Lonchura striata: one gene and its partner. The protein of the gene in region 2 interacts with the protein of the main gene of each other region in a biochemical or structural test. Links are inferred from orthologs where the notes say so. Each region holds a gene or a part of one and is shown on either strand. Other genes may lie near its edges.

Evidence for each region.
Region 1: the proteins of PLD1 (region 2) and RALA form a complex in vitro, tested with the Homo sapiens proteins (2 studies listed by BioGRID). The link is inferred for Lonchura striata from reciprocal best matches to the Homo sapiens genes PLD1 and RALA.

Annotation. Positions count from the first base shown.
Region 1 is NC_134603.1:103,340,804-103,349,025, reverse strand, and holds the start of RALA (ras-related protein Ral-A), read right to left. Parts: upstream 3,131-8,222; 5' UTR 3,036-3,130; intron 2,497-3,035; exon of another isoform or gene 2,372-2,496; intron 1,944-2,371; exon of another isoform or gene 1,888-1,943; intron 1-1,887. UniProt on the Homo sapiens protein: Multifunctional GTPase involved in a variety of cellular processes including gene expression, cell migration, cell proliferation, oncogenic transformation and membrane trafficking.
Region 2 is NC_134612.1:22,659,427-22,666,550, reverse strand, and holds the start of PLD1 (phospholipase D1), read right to left. Parts: upstream 3,030-7,124; 5' UTR 2,862-3,029; intron 1-2,861. UniProt on the Homo sapiens protein: Function as phospholipase selective for phosphatidylcholine. Implicated as a critical step in numerous cellular pathways, including signal transduction, membrane trafficking, and the regulation of mitosis.

The DNA of each region.
Region 1 (8,222 bases), on a different chromosome or scaffold from region 2:
ACAGTACTCCTTAAAAATAACTTTTTATAAACTATCCTGAGAGCTGATTTTAAGTACTGCAACAGACTAATAAAATGTAACAATTGCTTCCCTACTTAGCAATATAAATATTTTGCAGAACATTTAGTGGACAAACATAATACCAACTGCTCTATTTACTTGGTTCCTCACATAAATTCTTCCTAAGGTAGAAAGGAGGCTTAACACAGTTGTCCTGTAATTGTGCGTTTGAGGCAGGCAGGCTACAGTATGTTCACAAGAATGCTGTCACTAGCCTACTAAACTACCTTGTTCACATAAAACAGATTTCAATTTAGATGCAAAGTAATTTCTGTAGCTTGGAGCCATTAGAAGTTTACTGGAAGCTGGCTATAAGCACTTTCAAGGGGGTGGGGAGTTCCCTATCTAGAAGACATGTTATCAACCACTGATTCCCAGGACTTCTATATCCTACAGTACTCCCTAGGATGGCAAAGCAACCAAATCTTATCACAAAGTTAAAAGATTTTTCTCATATAATTATTTCTTCTTCATATATAAAACTGCAGCAAAAATAATGCTGTTTTCAGTTGGCTGAAATGCAGTGCCTAAACAACTTTTCACACAAGACACTGTACCTACAGTATCCTTTGGTATCAGAGACTGCCATATATCAGTTTCTAAGTTATCTGCATTTTTTTGCCTTGGCAATTATCTTCATCCAAGTCAGATACACTTGAAAGTTAACAGGAGCAAAACCACTTCTTAGATGGAACATCTTTGTTTCGGGGTAATCCCTCAGAAAAAGTAGAAACAGGGATGTCAGTGCATGCCTTAGTAACTGAGGTTAAGAACACAACTGTTTTTATGAGAACTAGAAGTCAGTCTGAACACAGAAGACACATGGACCACTGCAAGATCTCCAGCCACACTTATTTAACAGTCTTGTGCTCTTCCTTGGTCACCTTTATCCAGCACTGCCTTATCCTCACAGCCACAACTCTCCTTACCCCACCTCCCCACGCCCATCCCTTTCCCCTCAATAGCCTACTGTTTCTATGGGCTATTTATCTAAAGAGTACGTGACCACAGGTGACAGACATTACAAAGAATGCACAGCTAGGGAACATTCCAGTTTTCAGTTTCATGGCTAAAGATTCGTTAAGGACAAAAAAAAAAAAAAAAAACCAAAAAAAACCCCACAGCATTATCACAACAATGTCAAAGAACACACAACTCAAAATACTTCACCTTAGGATGTTTGTAATCTTTCCCTTACTCAAATTCAAAAGAGCACTAAAAAGCAAAGACCAAGATCAAGGAATTTGCAATAGTTGAGTAGTACACTCACTATCCAGCAACACAGCTTATTTAACCTCATAGTTAACCCCTCATGCAGTGGACTGAAAGCTTTTTTTGATATTTTTGTGCAACATTATGTCACGTTCTCCTATTTCTACAGAAAAGAATAAAGAGTAAACAGGACTTCTCAAATTTCCACCATTTGGAGGCTGCCACAAAAAATGTTTGACAAACTGTAATGCAAACACAGACTGAAGGATTTATATTTACACCAGAGATCGACATATCAAACAGTTGTTCTTCACTCTATTAAGAATGCTCACAGTTTCCCAGGACTTAAATGTTGAGGTACATGCTATTAGATTAACAAGTCAGCCAAAAAGAAGTGGATTTAAAATTAAAAATCCAGTTATAATCACTACTGATTACCCTGAAAACTAACAGAAGAGCAGGATCTTCTCCTAGTGCAGCCCCTCTCTCAGGCTTGCCTTTCTTTTCAGTTTAACTTTCAGTGGAAAGGACAAAGAACAACCGATAGGTTATGGAGAGATCTGAACATAAAACTGTATGTGAACTGAAATGCCAGCAGAGGCACATACTGCTTACACTTCCGGACGTATAATGTTTTGCAGTGCAGAATGCAAGTCTCTTTCAAATAAGAGCTGGAAATGAAAGCACAAAACAAAACATCAGGGTCCTTTTGAGTCTGAAAAAAAAAACCATTTTGACAAGCTTTCTGCCACGACGGTTTGGGGATGCTGCAAAACAAACACACAGATCGCTCCTCAGGTGGCTCTTGGGATACGTATGGCCCACTTAACATTTTCATTTTAAAGACTCAATTAAGAAGGAGCTGAAGCTATTGACTTCCCCTTAAAAGAAACCTAAAAGCAAACACCAAATCTCTTACCTAACCAAATACGTGAGCATCGAAAGGCTCTTTCATTTGGGGAACTTAAAAGTATACTTCGCACTTCTCCCTTGTGTTACAAGCAAACACAAGATCTAGTTATTACCAGTAACTACAGAAAAGCCCAGCACATGAAAGTGGGCAGCTATTAAATGCTACAGGAGCCCTGTTCTTACTCACCCTAGAACCGCAGCGCCCACATACACGCGCAGGGTCTCCGGCACCCGGCCGGAGCAGGAATCGCCGCCGCAGCAGCCGCTCGGTCCCGCCGGGCCGGTGGGCGAGCACCCCGACCCCCTTCCCCGCGGCCCCGGGCGCGGCCCTTTGTTCGGGGCGCCGCCGCGCCGCGCCCCACCCTGCGCAGGTACGGGCGGCGCCCGCCGCCGCCCGCGGCCCCGGGACGCCGCCCCCGGCCCCGCCGCAACAGGCGGCCGGAGCCCGGCGCGGCCCCGCCGCCCCCTGCCCGCTGTTCCCGCGCCCGGGCGGGCCGCGAACGCAGGTGGCCAAGGTCGCCGCCCGTAACCTTCAGGGAGCGGTCACCAGGCCCCCGGCAGGAGGCTCGGGGCGCCGCCCGCCCGTCCCCACACGCCGGGGTGGGGCCGGCAGGCGTACCCCGCCGGCCAGGGACGGCGAGGCGGCGGCCGCACCCCGACACCGATTCCCGGGCGGCGCAGAGCGGCGGGCGCGGAGCCGCCGGAAGCCCCCGCCCGCGCCGCACGGCAGCTTCCCCCACACCGGAGAGCTCCCGAGGCGCGGGCGGAGCCGGGTCCTCGGGCTCCCCCCGGCCCCAGCCCTGGCGGCTCCGCCCGGCGCGGCCCGGCCCGGCCGCGCGCCCCCGTCTCACCTGCGGCGGCGGTGCCGGCGGCGCCCGAGGAGCGCGCGGGGAGGGGCGGAGCGCGCGAGGTGAGGCCCTGGCGCCGCCCCCGCGCGCACGGCCGGCGGCGCGCGCGGCCCGGGGCGGAGGGCGGGCGCGGCCGGGGCGGGGCGGGGCGGGGAGCGCCGCCGCAGGGGCCGCAGCGTCGTCACCGGGTGCGGCCCCGCCGCCCCCGCCCCGCGGGCGGAGCGCCGTGTCAGGCGCCGAGGCGCGCAGGCGCGGGGCGGGCCAAGGAGGAGCGGGGCGGCGCGGCCGGACCCGGTTCCCGGAAGGGGGCGGCCGCTTCCGTCCGCGGCGCGAGCGGGGCCGGGCCCGGCGGGGCGCGGCGGGGGCGGGTAACGGGCGGGACGCGGCCGGCGCCTTCCCGGGGCGCGTCGTTCCGCCGGGGAGTCGTGTCCCGCTTCTCCCACGGCGCCGTAACTCCGAGCCTCAAACGGCAGCTGCTTTCCTTCCTGCACCTCCTCCTTTGTTTCAGCCGAAACTTAAGGGAGATAGATAGTGAGAAAGCATTGTAGCTCGATGTCTGTCCCTCCTTCTTCCCAGCTAATCCCTCATCTGGAGAATAGAGGAGGCGTGTCCTGCCATGGTAAGGAGATAAATTCCCGACATCTGTCGCTAGGTTTATAAACACAATTATTTTTAGTGGAGCATTCCTCAGGACAGAAGTGTAAGCTGGGACAACATTTAATATACTGAGTTTAAGGAAAATGATCACTGGCAGAAGGGAACATGAAGCGGTGAGGCTCTTAAGAGAGTTTTGCTTTTTTTTTTTTTAATTTCTTTTTTATAGTAATGGACCACTCCATGTATGGAGGATTTTACAGATGCCAAAAAGAATGGGGAGATAAGATCTTTTCCATGTTAATTACAATCATTCAAATAATAACAGCAAGAGTGCCTTAATAACTGTATCTTTTACTCCTAAATTGTGGACACACAGAGGAGCTTTGCCCAAACACAACATGATTTAAACTCATGATGTAAGTGATGTAATGAAAGCTAAGCATAATATGCATATAACAAAACTGACTGCTCAGTGTGTGTCTTTGGTTTTCACACTATAACCACGCACAGACAATACTAATTGTTTTGAAGCATCCGCTCACCCACATAAGTGTTTGGCTGAAGGTAGTTTCCAAGTCTGGAAATTCCAGATTTTATCACCTCAGATGAAAACTTTGACCTTGGTATTCACCTCATGGAACGTGCGCTTTGCTTGCAAAGCAGGTGCACGTTAAAATTTTCATTGTTCTCTGTGATGGTTTCTGAAATTTTTGACAACTTGACATTTTGACATAATTTAGCCAGTGTTCAGTCCATATTCCTCTGGAATTTCGTTTTGTTGGCCTCACATTTCATTATGAGCTAATTTTTGCAAATTCCTGAGAGTTTGATAAACTGATAGCAATCCAGATGCAATTAATTCTGATTAAAATATCTAAATACATCCATTTACACAGAGAAAGGTTGGATTCTCTTAAATGGAGAGGGCAGGGAAAAAAAGGAGGAGAAGAAAGGAAAGCTAGTAACACTGAGTCAACCAAACATTGAAAATAAAACATTTTTGATATTTCATGAAAGGGAAAATTTTCATAGTATATGTCATAAGACTTTTCATGAGACCATGAAAAGACTGAAAGAGTCTCTGCATGATCCTGTACAAATAATGATTCAGGAGTCCTCAAGAAATCCTGGCCCAACTTCTGCAGCCTTTTGAGTATCTCTGTGCTGTATAACTTTTTAATACTTATTCCAGAACACTTCTGTTGCAAAAGAGTGGGTTAGTCTTAGTTAAGGTCTCATTAATACTGATGTCTGCAGCCGTTCAGTACTTCCTTATTCCTGCAATACTAGAGCTAGTCCAAAATAACCTTTGTCCTGTAAGACACACAGTGTACTTACCCAGATGTTGGTAGCAGCTGTTTCACTCTCTGAAAATGTCCCTTTGCATAAAATGGTTTGGGTTGGAAGAGACCCTAAAGATCATCTAATATCAAATCCCCTGTCAAGGGCAAGATGACATCCACTAGACCATGTTGCTCAGTGCCCCATCTAGGCTGGCCTTTAACACTTTCAGGGATGGGGTGTCTGCAGTATCTCTGGGCAACCTATTCCAGTGCCTCACCACTCTCAAAATAAAGAATTTCTTCCTAAGATCTAATCTAAATCTAATTTTTTAGTTTATAACCATTTCCCCCTTGTCCTATCACTAATATGCCCATGTAAGACATTGCTCTTTTTACCCTTTAGGTACTGGAAGGCCTCAATGAGCTCTTGCCAGAACCTTCTCTTCTCCAGGCTGAGCAACCTGAGCTCTCTCAGCCTTTGTAGGAGAGATGGTTCAGTCCTCTGACCATTTTTGTGGCCTCTTCTGGACTCTCTATAGCAAGTCCACATCTTTCTTATGCTAAGGACTCCATACCTGGACACAGCACTCTACTTCGGGTCCCATAAGGGCAGAGTAGAAGGGGACAATCACGTACCTTAGCCACCCCTCTTTTGATACAAGCCAGGATACCATTTGCCTTCTGGGCTGCAAGTGAACCCTCTTAAGTCCTTCTCAGCTCAGTTGGTCTCAACAAGTTCTTCTCCCAGTCTGAACTCACGTCTGGTATTGCCCTGACCCAGGTGCAGCACTTTGCACCTGGATTTGTTGAACTTGAGGTTCCCATGGGCTCACTTCTCAAGCTTGCCCACCTGAATATGGTCTCTTCTTTCTGTTGAACCAACTGCACCACTCAGCTTCACAGGTCTGGAATCTTGCTGGGGTGCACTCAATCCCACTGACAGTGTCATTGATAAAGGAAGGTATTAAAGAGCCCTGGTACCATGACAGGCCCCTGAGGGACACAGCTCATCACCAGTGTCCACCTGGACATAAAAGTACTTACCACAACTCTGGCTGCATCCACCCAGCCAATTCCTTATCCACTGAATATTCCATCCATCAAATCTGTGTCATCATTTTGGAGATAAGGATGTCATGTGGGACCAGCTTACAGAAGTCTAGGTAGTTGACATCTGTCAGTCTTTGCTTGTTAATTGTTGCTGTCACTCCATTGTGGAAGGCCACCAGATGGGTCAGGCATGATTTGCCATATTGGCTGTCTTGGATCATCTCCTTGTATTGTATGTGCTTAACATTGTTCCATGAGTGTCTGCTCCACAGTCTTCCCAAGAAGGGGGAGGTCTCTGGTATGTCCTTCCCTGGGTCTTCCTTTCTTCCCTTTTTAAAAATAGGAACGATGTTTCTCTTTTTCCAGTCACTGAGCACTTCACCTGACTGCCAGGGTTTTCCACATATGGGTTGGCAACAACATCAGTTCCCTCAGGACCCTGGGATGCATCTCATCAGGCCCTAATAGACTTGTGGCTATTCAGTTTAATCAGGTGGTCTTGAACCTGCTCTTCATTTTACAGTGGGAGAGATTTCATCCCCATTTTGCACCATGCTGCTTGTTAATGAATGTGGTCTTTGTCCTTTTAATCTCTCTTTAGAGCTATCTTAAAAAAAAAAAAAATACAACCTTATTTTGAATTTCTGTTTTGTGGCCCAAAGTGCATGTTGTAATGCAATAAAAAACAGTTTATAGTATACCTTTCATTTTTTGCTTGGATCTGTCCCCTGGCATCTTACCCAAACCAAGTGGAAAAAAAATGAGCTCTTTAACCCAAAACTAAAAGACGTATTTCCATGAAAATGCACTACATTAATAATTCCTATTCAATTTCTAACAAGTGACTGTAGCAAGAGCATCTCTGGAGCACCTGGTATATTTTATGGCATGACTCTGGCTCCTCTGTGTAAGAGAGCAACTGGTCAGAGGAAAGTAGGTATTGCAACTATTTCTTTGTCTGTACAGGAACCTAGGGTCCACAGCCCAAGGCAACAAGAGGTTTAAATTACTCTCTGGTGTTCAAATGCTACAATAGGTACCTAAAACCATACAGGTTTTACCATACAGGTAGTTTAGTAGACATTTGCAATGTGGCTATAAAGCGTGCAGGTAATGAATGAAACCATACAGGTAGTGTAGTAGATATTTGCAATGTGGCTAGGAAGGGTGTAGGTAATGAATGTCCTTTGTTATGTATTAGCATCTGTGCCATTACAGCTCTGCACATAAAATTCTTGAAAGGAAAAAAATGTGAAGAATAATTAGGTAGAGATGTAATTAATTGTGTCCTAGTAGTACTTGCATTATGTACCTTAATACAACTAAGAAATCAACTGACAAATATTTCATTTATTTTAAAAAGCCAAAGCTACAGTGGACATGTCAGACAAAACATGTCTGAAACTTAGGGAAAAACATTGATGTGCAACTTCCATTCCCACAGCGCAAAAAGTACTTGTTCCCTTTAGTGCACATTTAGTAGCACACAATTTATATTTAAAGTATGCATAATTTAGCACTGTAATTTTATCTTAGATTTCTGTTGACATGAATAAATGAACCACATTCTTTGGAAAACCATCTTATCATGCATAAAACATCCATTCTTCCTTCAAGTGCTCAATAAATCTTCCAGGGTGAGAGAGACTTAATTTTTTGAAGGGACAAAAGAGTAAATGAACAAAACCACCTACTGGTTCTTGAGGGCACCCTCCTATTTCAGCCCTTTCTGCCCAGAATTGATTACTGTGGCATCTGCTGGGTTTGTGGGTGTGTGAGCCTTTGTGTTATGAAGTACTGCTGAACTGAAATCAATACATGGAGGTAAGGTTTCCTGGTATTTATGGTTAATTTCTTCTCTTTTACGCTGATGGCAGAACTGTATTAAAATTTATTAGACAACACTTTATTACCAGTGTGTAAGGATGGATAAAATGTATTTGTGAATTAATGGAGTTTCTCAGTAGCAGGCCAGTTGAAAAGAAATCACCCAGCCCAAATCCACATGTATTCTGAGCAGAATCAACCTCCCCATTAAAATGAAAGAGCTTGAAGCTTTTACCCACCTTCAGTTTGTACCAGAAGTAACAATGAGTGAAGAACATGCTAAACAATCACTTGCCTAATTATTAACATACTCATACTTCTCAAGTTTGTAACTTCATGTTTTTTTCTGTGCTTTTGTGTAAGTAATAACTAGGCTTCAAGGACATACTACTCTTGAGGTATATAACTGGCTAGCCTAAGGGCAGATTTGGGA
Region 2 (7,124 bases):
AAAAAAATCCAAATAAAGGCTGGCCAAGGGTTTGTGAAGGGAAATAAAAAAAGACAGAGCCACAACTCCTCTCAGGCAAATGATCATGGACCAAATCTCAGTCCCTGCAGGAGCTTCCCAGGGTACAGGACATGTGAGAGCAAGTTAAAAACACATCATCAAATAACTGCCAGTCAGACAATAGAAGGAAAAGGCATGTAAAGGGTTGCTCTCACCCTCCTCCTTCCTCACCCTTAGCCAACACCAGGTGCTGACATCAGACACTCCAGAAGAAAATCAAATTGCTTTTTCTGCTCTGTTATAAACAAATTTAGGGCCACTAGCCAATTCTGATTCTCACTAAAGCTTTATTATTATTTTAAATTACTTACTGCAAAATAACTGTTCCAACATGAAATTAAGGAACCACCTGGTTGCAGCAAAGGCATCAGAAAGGTGCTGCTCCTCATGGACCACGATGGCTTCCTGCAAGACTCCAGCAATTTCCCCTTTGATGTATTCACAGGGCACAAACAGAGAGAAGATAAACTAGAAGCTTCTATCTTATATCAGTAACTGATATCTTCCTTCTTATGCCATTTCAAGGAATAACACTTGTGGTAATGCCAGCATTTAAGTGCATTCCCCTGAAATTTCTTTCCCTGAAGGTTTGATAACCTGCTTTAAATCAATTTTCAGAGAAGAAATAACTGTAAAACCCAAGTTCAGCTGGCTGAAATTTCACTTAATCATGTAAGAGATTTCTCAAATCACTGCTGGAGATAAAACCCACTCCTTTAGAACACCTTTCCTCCACCACAAAAGAGCACTTCCTAATTTACAGGAATAACAATGTCAAAATGACACCACCTTTTACACTTTGTTACTATTTAGAGTAATAAAAATTTTAGGAGAAACACAAGATTGCAGACTACTTTATGAAAGAGTAATTTCACCAGCAATGATCACCTACCTAGTACTTATAATTTCATTCACACACGTGAAACAGCATCTTCAGCAGTTCAAAGAATGTGCAATTCTGATACCAGCACACTCTTTCTCAGCTGCAAGAGCTCAGGAGACACCTGTCAACAATAGCATTTTCTGTGGTAGGAGTTCAAGCCTCTCAAAATAAGAAGAGCATCATGGCCTCCAGGAAAAGTGAATTTATTAAGTGTTTTCCACGAAGATCAGAGCCTCAACACTAATTTTCAATAATCCTGAAAAGGATGATGTTATATGTATCAAGACAAAACTAAAACGCAAATGAGTACGTAAGTGAACCCCTTCAATCTTCTCAAGTTAGGAAAGTTAAATCTTGGCAAAACCAAATTCAATCACACTACCTCTCAAACTTTCATTCAATCAGCTGAAGCAGAGTCTACACCAATCTCTGTAAATTTTAACAGGTCTTTCAAAGGGATCTGACCTTGGCCCCGTCCCACAAGGAGCTCTGACCAAGCCTGGGGCTCGCCTCCTCTCCAGAGGGGAGGGTAGATCCAGGGCTCAGTATCCCAGCCAGCAAACCTGGCACCAAGACGGGTGATGGGGACACTGTGAGATGTCACCCACATACTGCACCCCCAGGCCTGGGAGAGGCCAGACACACTTCCCCACTGCAAAAAAACTGATTTTACAGGCTTAGTGCTACCTGATGGCAGAAGGACAGGAGGAAGGGCCTCCTTCAGCCACAGGCAAGGTCAGGGCAGGTACACAGAGGGGACTGTTGGGGGGAACTCTGCAGCAAACCCCTGAGCCTGGATCAGGGATCCCAGAATCGCTGGGGTGTGCTCAGCATCAGAGGGTAACAGTGACCCTGAGAAAAGGGCTCTCAAGCAGCAAAGGAAGGGGAGCCCACAGACTCAAACTCAGAGCGTTCCAATTTCTGGCTAAGCTGGGCTGGATGTGGCCATGGGACACAAGTCACAGGGCTAACACTCCTGTGAGCATCATGAGGTGGTTGGAAATGAAGTTCCCTGGTTACCTGCGAGCCTCTGGCATGAGCTCACGCTTATCAAATGGTAGAGACAGCACGGGAGGGAAAACAATAATTCCTGAGTGATTAAAGACACTCGAAAGAGAGCTCCCACCCTTCGAGCTGCAAACACAGGCAGCTCGAAACACAACGCCGTACGCAAACAGGGACGCTTTTGTCCCAGCAGCTATGGGCACACCAGCCTCGCCGTGACATCCACACTTACCATCTTCCACCAGTGCCAAATCAGCAGAGCTTCATCCAACCAGTGCAACTGCTGGTGCCTGTCCCCAGCCAGCCTCACTGGAGGCATCGTGCAGATTTACTGAAAGGAGGGATGCGGGGAGGCACTGTCCTTCTGTGTGCAGAGAGCCCCTGGTCAGCCCGGGGAACGCTTCCAAAGCCAGTGGAGCTGCACTAACTTGAACCACGGTCCAGCTCAGACCGCAGGCACCTCGGGGCTGAGATTTCTAGAGAGCATCACGCCAAATAAAGAAAACCAGCAACAGGCAGGAAAGGCTTTCATTGCGAGAAAGCCACCCAGCAGCTCGGCAGAAGGGGTTTTGCCAGCACGTTCGGTAACTCGGGCTTTTCTCATAACCCAAGAACGGCGGGTGCGGAAGGGACGTGGCAGGGTCACATTCAGCAGCGCCGGGGACGCTGAAGTTCAGCGCATCGCCGAGCCCCCAAGCCAGGACCGCACCGACCCAAACCCACCCTTTTCACAGCACGACAAACGCGCGAACCACCCCGAGTGTGTCCGACAGGCGACAAACACCGCTCCGCAGCAAAGCCTGCCCTAGCAAAGAGCCCGGGCAGGGCATTCACTTGCAAACAGACGCCGAAGGCACCGCAGTGCCCCGGGCCGGGCGCCCGCTCCGGCCACCCCGCGGCCGCCCGCACCCACCTCCGGCCCCCGCGGCCGCGGGTGCCCCATGGTGCCCTCAGAGCCAGCCGGGTGCCCGCAGAGCCAGCCGGGTGCCCTCAGAGCCAGCCGGGTACCCTCTCGCGGGGCACCAGCAGCCGGTGAAGCCGCCCGAAGAGCTGCCCTGCAGCGGCCCCGCCCGCCGGGCGCCGGGCCCGCCCCGCGCCCGCCTCCGCTGAGGGCAGCGCGGCCACTCCCGGGAGCGGGACACGGCCCAGGGGAGGGACGGGCAGCCGCCCGCCCCGGCTGGCCGTGAGGGGACGCGGGGGGCGCAGAGTGAGCCGAAGAGGAGTAACTCGATTGTTTCAGCCCAACTTTGCGGCGTGCGGAGGGGATCTGAGGCTCCTGCGCGCTCCGAGCGCCGCTCCCACAGGGAGCGCGGTTCTCCGCTCCGTGCCCGGACGCTCCAGGAGGGAGAAGCCAAGGTTCTCCACCGTCACCGGGAAACTGCGTTTGGCCAGGGAAACAGATTGAAAAAGCCTGTGCAAATTAACAATTATTAATTGCACATGCGATGCTTTTTTTTTAGCGTAAGACAACCCAATAATTACAGTCCGGTGCTGTTTGGATCCTAGCTGTCCTCCCCTACACATGTTGCATTTACCATGTTACTTCCCGTATGCCCTTTTTAATATGCAAGGATTGGATTTTTTTAGCGAGAGAGAAAATGTTTGTGCTTGAAGAAGCATTGAACTGACATGCAGATAAGCAAAATCCCCAGCAGGTTCCAGCTATAACCCAGCCCTGAGTGCTGGTGAAACGCCCCAAAATTTGTCTGCAGCACTGCAGCTCTCACTGCTGTGCCTGTACAGGGAGATCTTGGCGATTTCTTCCAGCGAACTCAGTGATTCCACTTCTATATCTACAGCAAGACTTCAACATGGTTATTAGGATATTTTTCTTCCTTAAATGATTTTAATTTTTATTTCTTCAAATCATGGAAAACTGAACCACAGTCATCCAATGTAGGTAAGATAAATAACCTAACTTTGATGAATGCTGGTTCAGAGGCAGCCTCTGTCCCCTACTCTGGCAGTTCAATATTGAAGCATTACATTCTCCACCAGAGCAGCCCCTGCCTTGTTTATGAGCACACCTGTAACACACTGGCTCAGCTCGTTTACACTGGATTTACTGTGACTTGGTTACCAACACCTTAACAAAACCAGCGTGATACACGTCACACCTCAAATCAAATTTACAAATCTAAGGTGGGTTCCCAATAGCATTGCAACACGGCTTCCTTCAGCTCGTGGGGCTGGGCTCACACACTGCCCTGTTCGGCATTGGAGAGCTGTGAGCCAAGGTGGCTCAGCAGTGCTGGCTGCACTGAGCACAGAAAAAGTCAGCACAGACATTTGTGGCACTCAGTGTCAGGAGAGAGCAAAGCAAGAGAGGAAGCTGGGGTGGAACACTGCAAGGCAATGGGAAATACTCAAAATTGCCCAATATCACTGCCATTTCCACCCCAAAGAGTGGGCAGAGCCATTGTTCCAGACAGGCACGTTACCCACACTGCAGAGAAGTTTCATGCTAAACATATGGAATGGGAATGAGTGGAGATACGACACGGGGAGCATCCCTCAGGGCTCCCTCCTGCCCAAGATGCCAAATCTCTGCCATCCTCCCTGGGCACACCTCTGTAAATCCCCCAGTTCCCTGGGACAGGAGGACAGCAGGCTGCAGAGGATCCCTGCCACCTCCCATTTCTGCACAGCTCTCCATGTGTGTTGATGCAGAGCAGGGATATATCAGACACAGAGAAACACAATTTTCTCTGCAGACAAACCCCTTCTCTCCTGCCCAGAGTTCATTTCAGTGCTCTTCCCCTATGCAACTAGCTGATTTCTGGCAAATCTTTCCAAATCCATAAACCTTAACTCACCTAATGTGTATTTAATCTCCTTGCTATAGGTTTATGTTGGCAGTGAACAGGGCTAGACCAGTAGCAGAAGACAGCAGGCAGTGTAGGTGAGCATTTTACCCTCTACTTTGCACAATTCCCCCTCTGCAGCACCACAGCAGAGCAGAAGCACCACTGTCTGTGCCCATGTCCCATTAGTGGCTTTCTACACTTCCCAGAACCTTCTTTGTCCCAGAGGCAATTCATGAAATGGATTCTTGGCACATACCCTCAAAAAAATCTTGAGCTCTGAGAGGCACAGTATTATCTGTTGGGAGTTTCTTTGGTTCTCTCCCAGCTGCTTTTCATTCTTCAGGAACTTCCACACATCCCTCAGAGGATGCTTAGTGTCATCACAAGGGTGTGAAGTTTTCTTATTTAAGGTAAGACTCTGGTGCAAAGAGTGCTCTGAGTGACAGTCAGGGATTGAGGCTGCTGCAGTCTGTAAAACCAAGGTGCTAATATTAGCAATCTTTATTTTATTGTTATTATTTAGTTGTACTTAATTTTTTTTCCTTCTCTCTAAAAATTTTCACTTCCATGCCCAATGAGGTAGCCAAAAGTGCCATGTAAAGACATCTGCAGAAGGGCTCTTGACAAACTAAAGCCTATGCTGCTGCACACCAAACCAAATCCACCAGCTGAAAGATAATGCAGTAAAAAAACCTTGGAAAATAAGGACATTATCTTCAATCTCGGTCACCACTTGACATCACAACACAGGGAGAAGGGGGAGGACCAGAGAGCTGCAGGACACTAGAGAAATGCCAAACAAGAAAAGGCTTTATGTGGGGAAAAAAAAGGGGAAAAAATAAATGCCAGACTAAGAGCAGGCTGGAGTGAACATGTGACAGCACAAAGAAGTGTCACCTTCTCCAAACCTCTCAAACCATTTTTTCACAACCTGAAAAATACTCTCTCCTTCCTCTGTGCCAAAAAGCAGTTTTGCCAAGATGTTGGAGTGCAGGAAGGATCTCAGCAGAGCCACATCAGGAATCTGTCTGACATGTTGAACACAGGTGACACCTAAACAGAGGGTTTTACCCATAGAGATTTTTACCACCCCTTTGCTTTTCCTTTGTTAAATTAGCCCAGCTACACCAGTACAAACTCCAGCCCTCTGTTATTCACAGTGTCACCAAAAATGGGCTATTCCCCTGCCCAATGCTCCTGATACTGTCCACAGCAATCCACACATCAAAAATGGAAAAATAAAAAAAATCAAATGCCAGGGTGAGCCTGGAGTGTCTTTCATGCCTGCAGGCATTGAAAGGGCCTTTTTCCTCCTTATAGTTCCCCTTTAGCCAGGCAGGGGCTCCCTGAAACCAAGTGTGGATCATGTTGGTGCCTCTGCAAAGCAGTGGGGGTCAGAGGGAAACCAGGGGAAAAAAATAAATAATTGTTTCTCCTGTAGTTGGGTCACATTTGGGAAGGAACCTGCAGAGCCCCAGGAGAGGGAGGAATCAGCTCTATCATCCTTGGTGGGATGATGGTTTACTTTGGCTGTGTGTAAAGCCAGGCTCCAGCTTGGGACACCACCGTGCCTCCTGCTCCTGCACCCTGTCCCCAACCTCTGCTGAAGATGTCCTGTCTACAGAGCAAAGGTTTTTGTGCCCCACAGCACAGGGCCTCTGCAGCTCCTTAAGACAAAAAGGATATTTTACCCTGTATCCCAGAGTGTCACCTCACTAGGGACTGGAAATGCGTTTCGCTGTCGCCATTTCAGAGAGTGTGCACCAGACATTCCAGAAAAACCCTGTGGATCCACACTGAGGCAGCCACTGGTGACACTGCCAAGGATGGAGCAACCCAAGACAACCCAAAGTGAGCCAGCTGGCATGCACAAAAAAATTTAAATTATTATTGTTTTGTCCCATAAGACCAGTATTCCAAAAGGAAAAGGCAGGGTTGCTTGTAGAAATCACATTGTCAAGTACTTTTTTTTCCTCCTCTTCCTTTCAAGGACCACCATTGTCCTCCTAACTCTGAGGGCACAGTCAGGGGAGGAAGTTTTGTTTAAAGGCACTTCAGTATCAAGTGCCTGACTGGACCACGGGGCCTCCTGGGAGTTGTAGTCTTATCTTCTCCCATAAAAACTGCTTTTTCTGGCATAATTCCACAGCGGTGTAATACCTCCCATAACACAGCAACAGCTCCCCTGCACAGTCAGGGGACAGTGGGACCCCTGGACTTTGGTTGCTACAAGACAACGCCGGGGGCTGCTCAGGATCCAAACCTTATCAGATTTGGCCAGAATAATTTAGTTTTCTTTCACACCCTTCTCCTCTCACAGAATTCCCATGGAAACACAAACAATGCTGTTGCTGTTTGGGTTTGGCTGG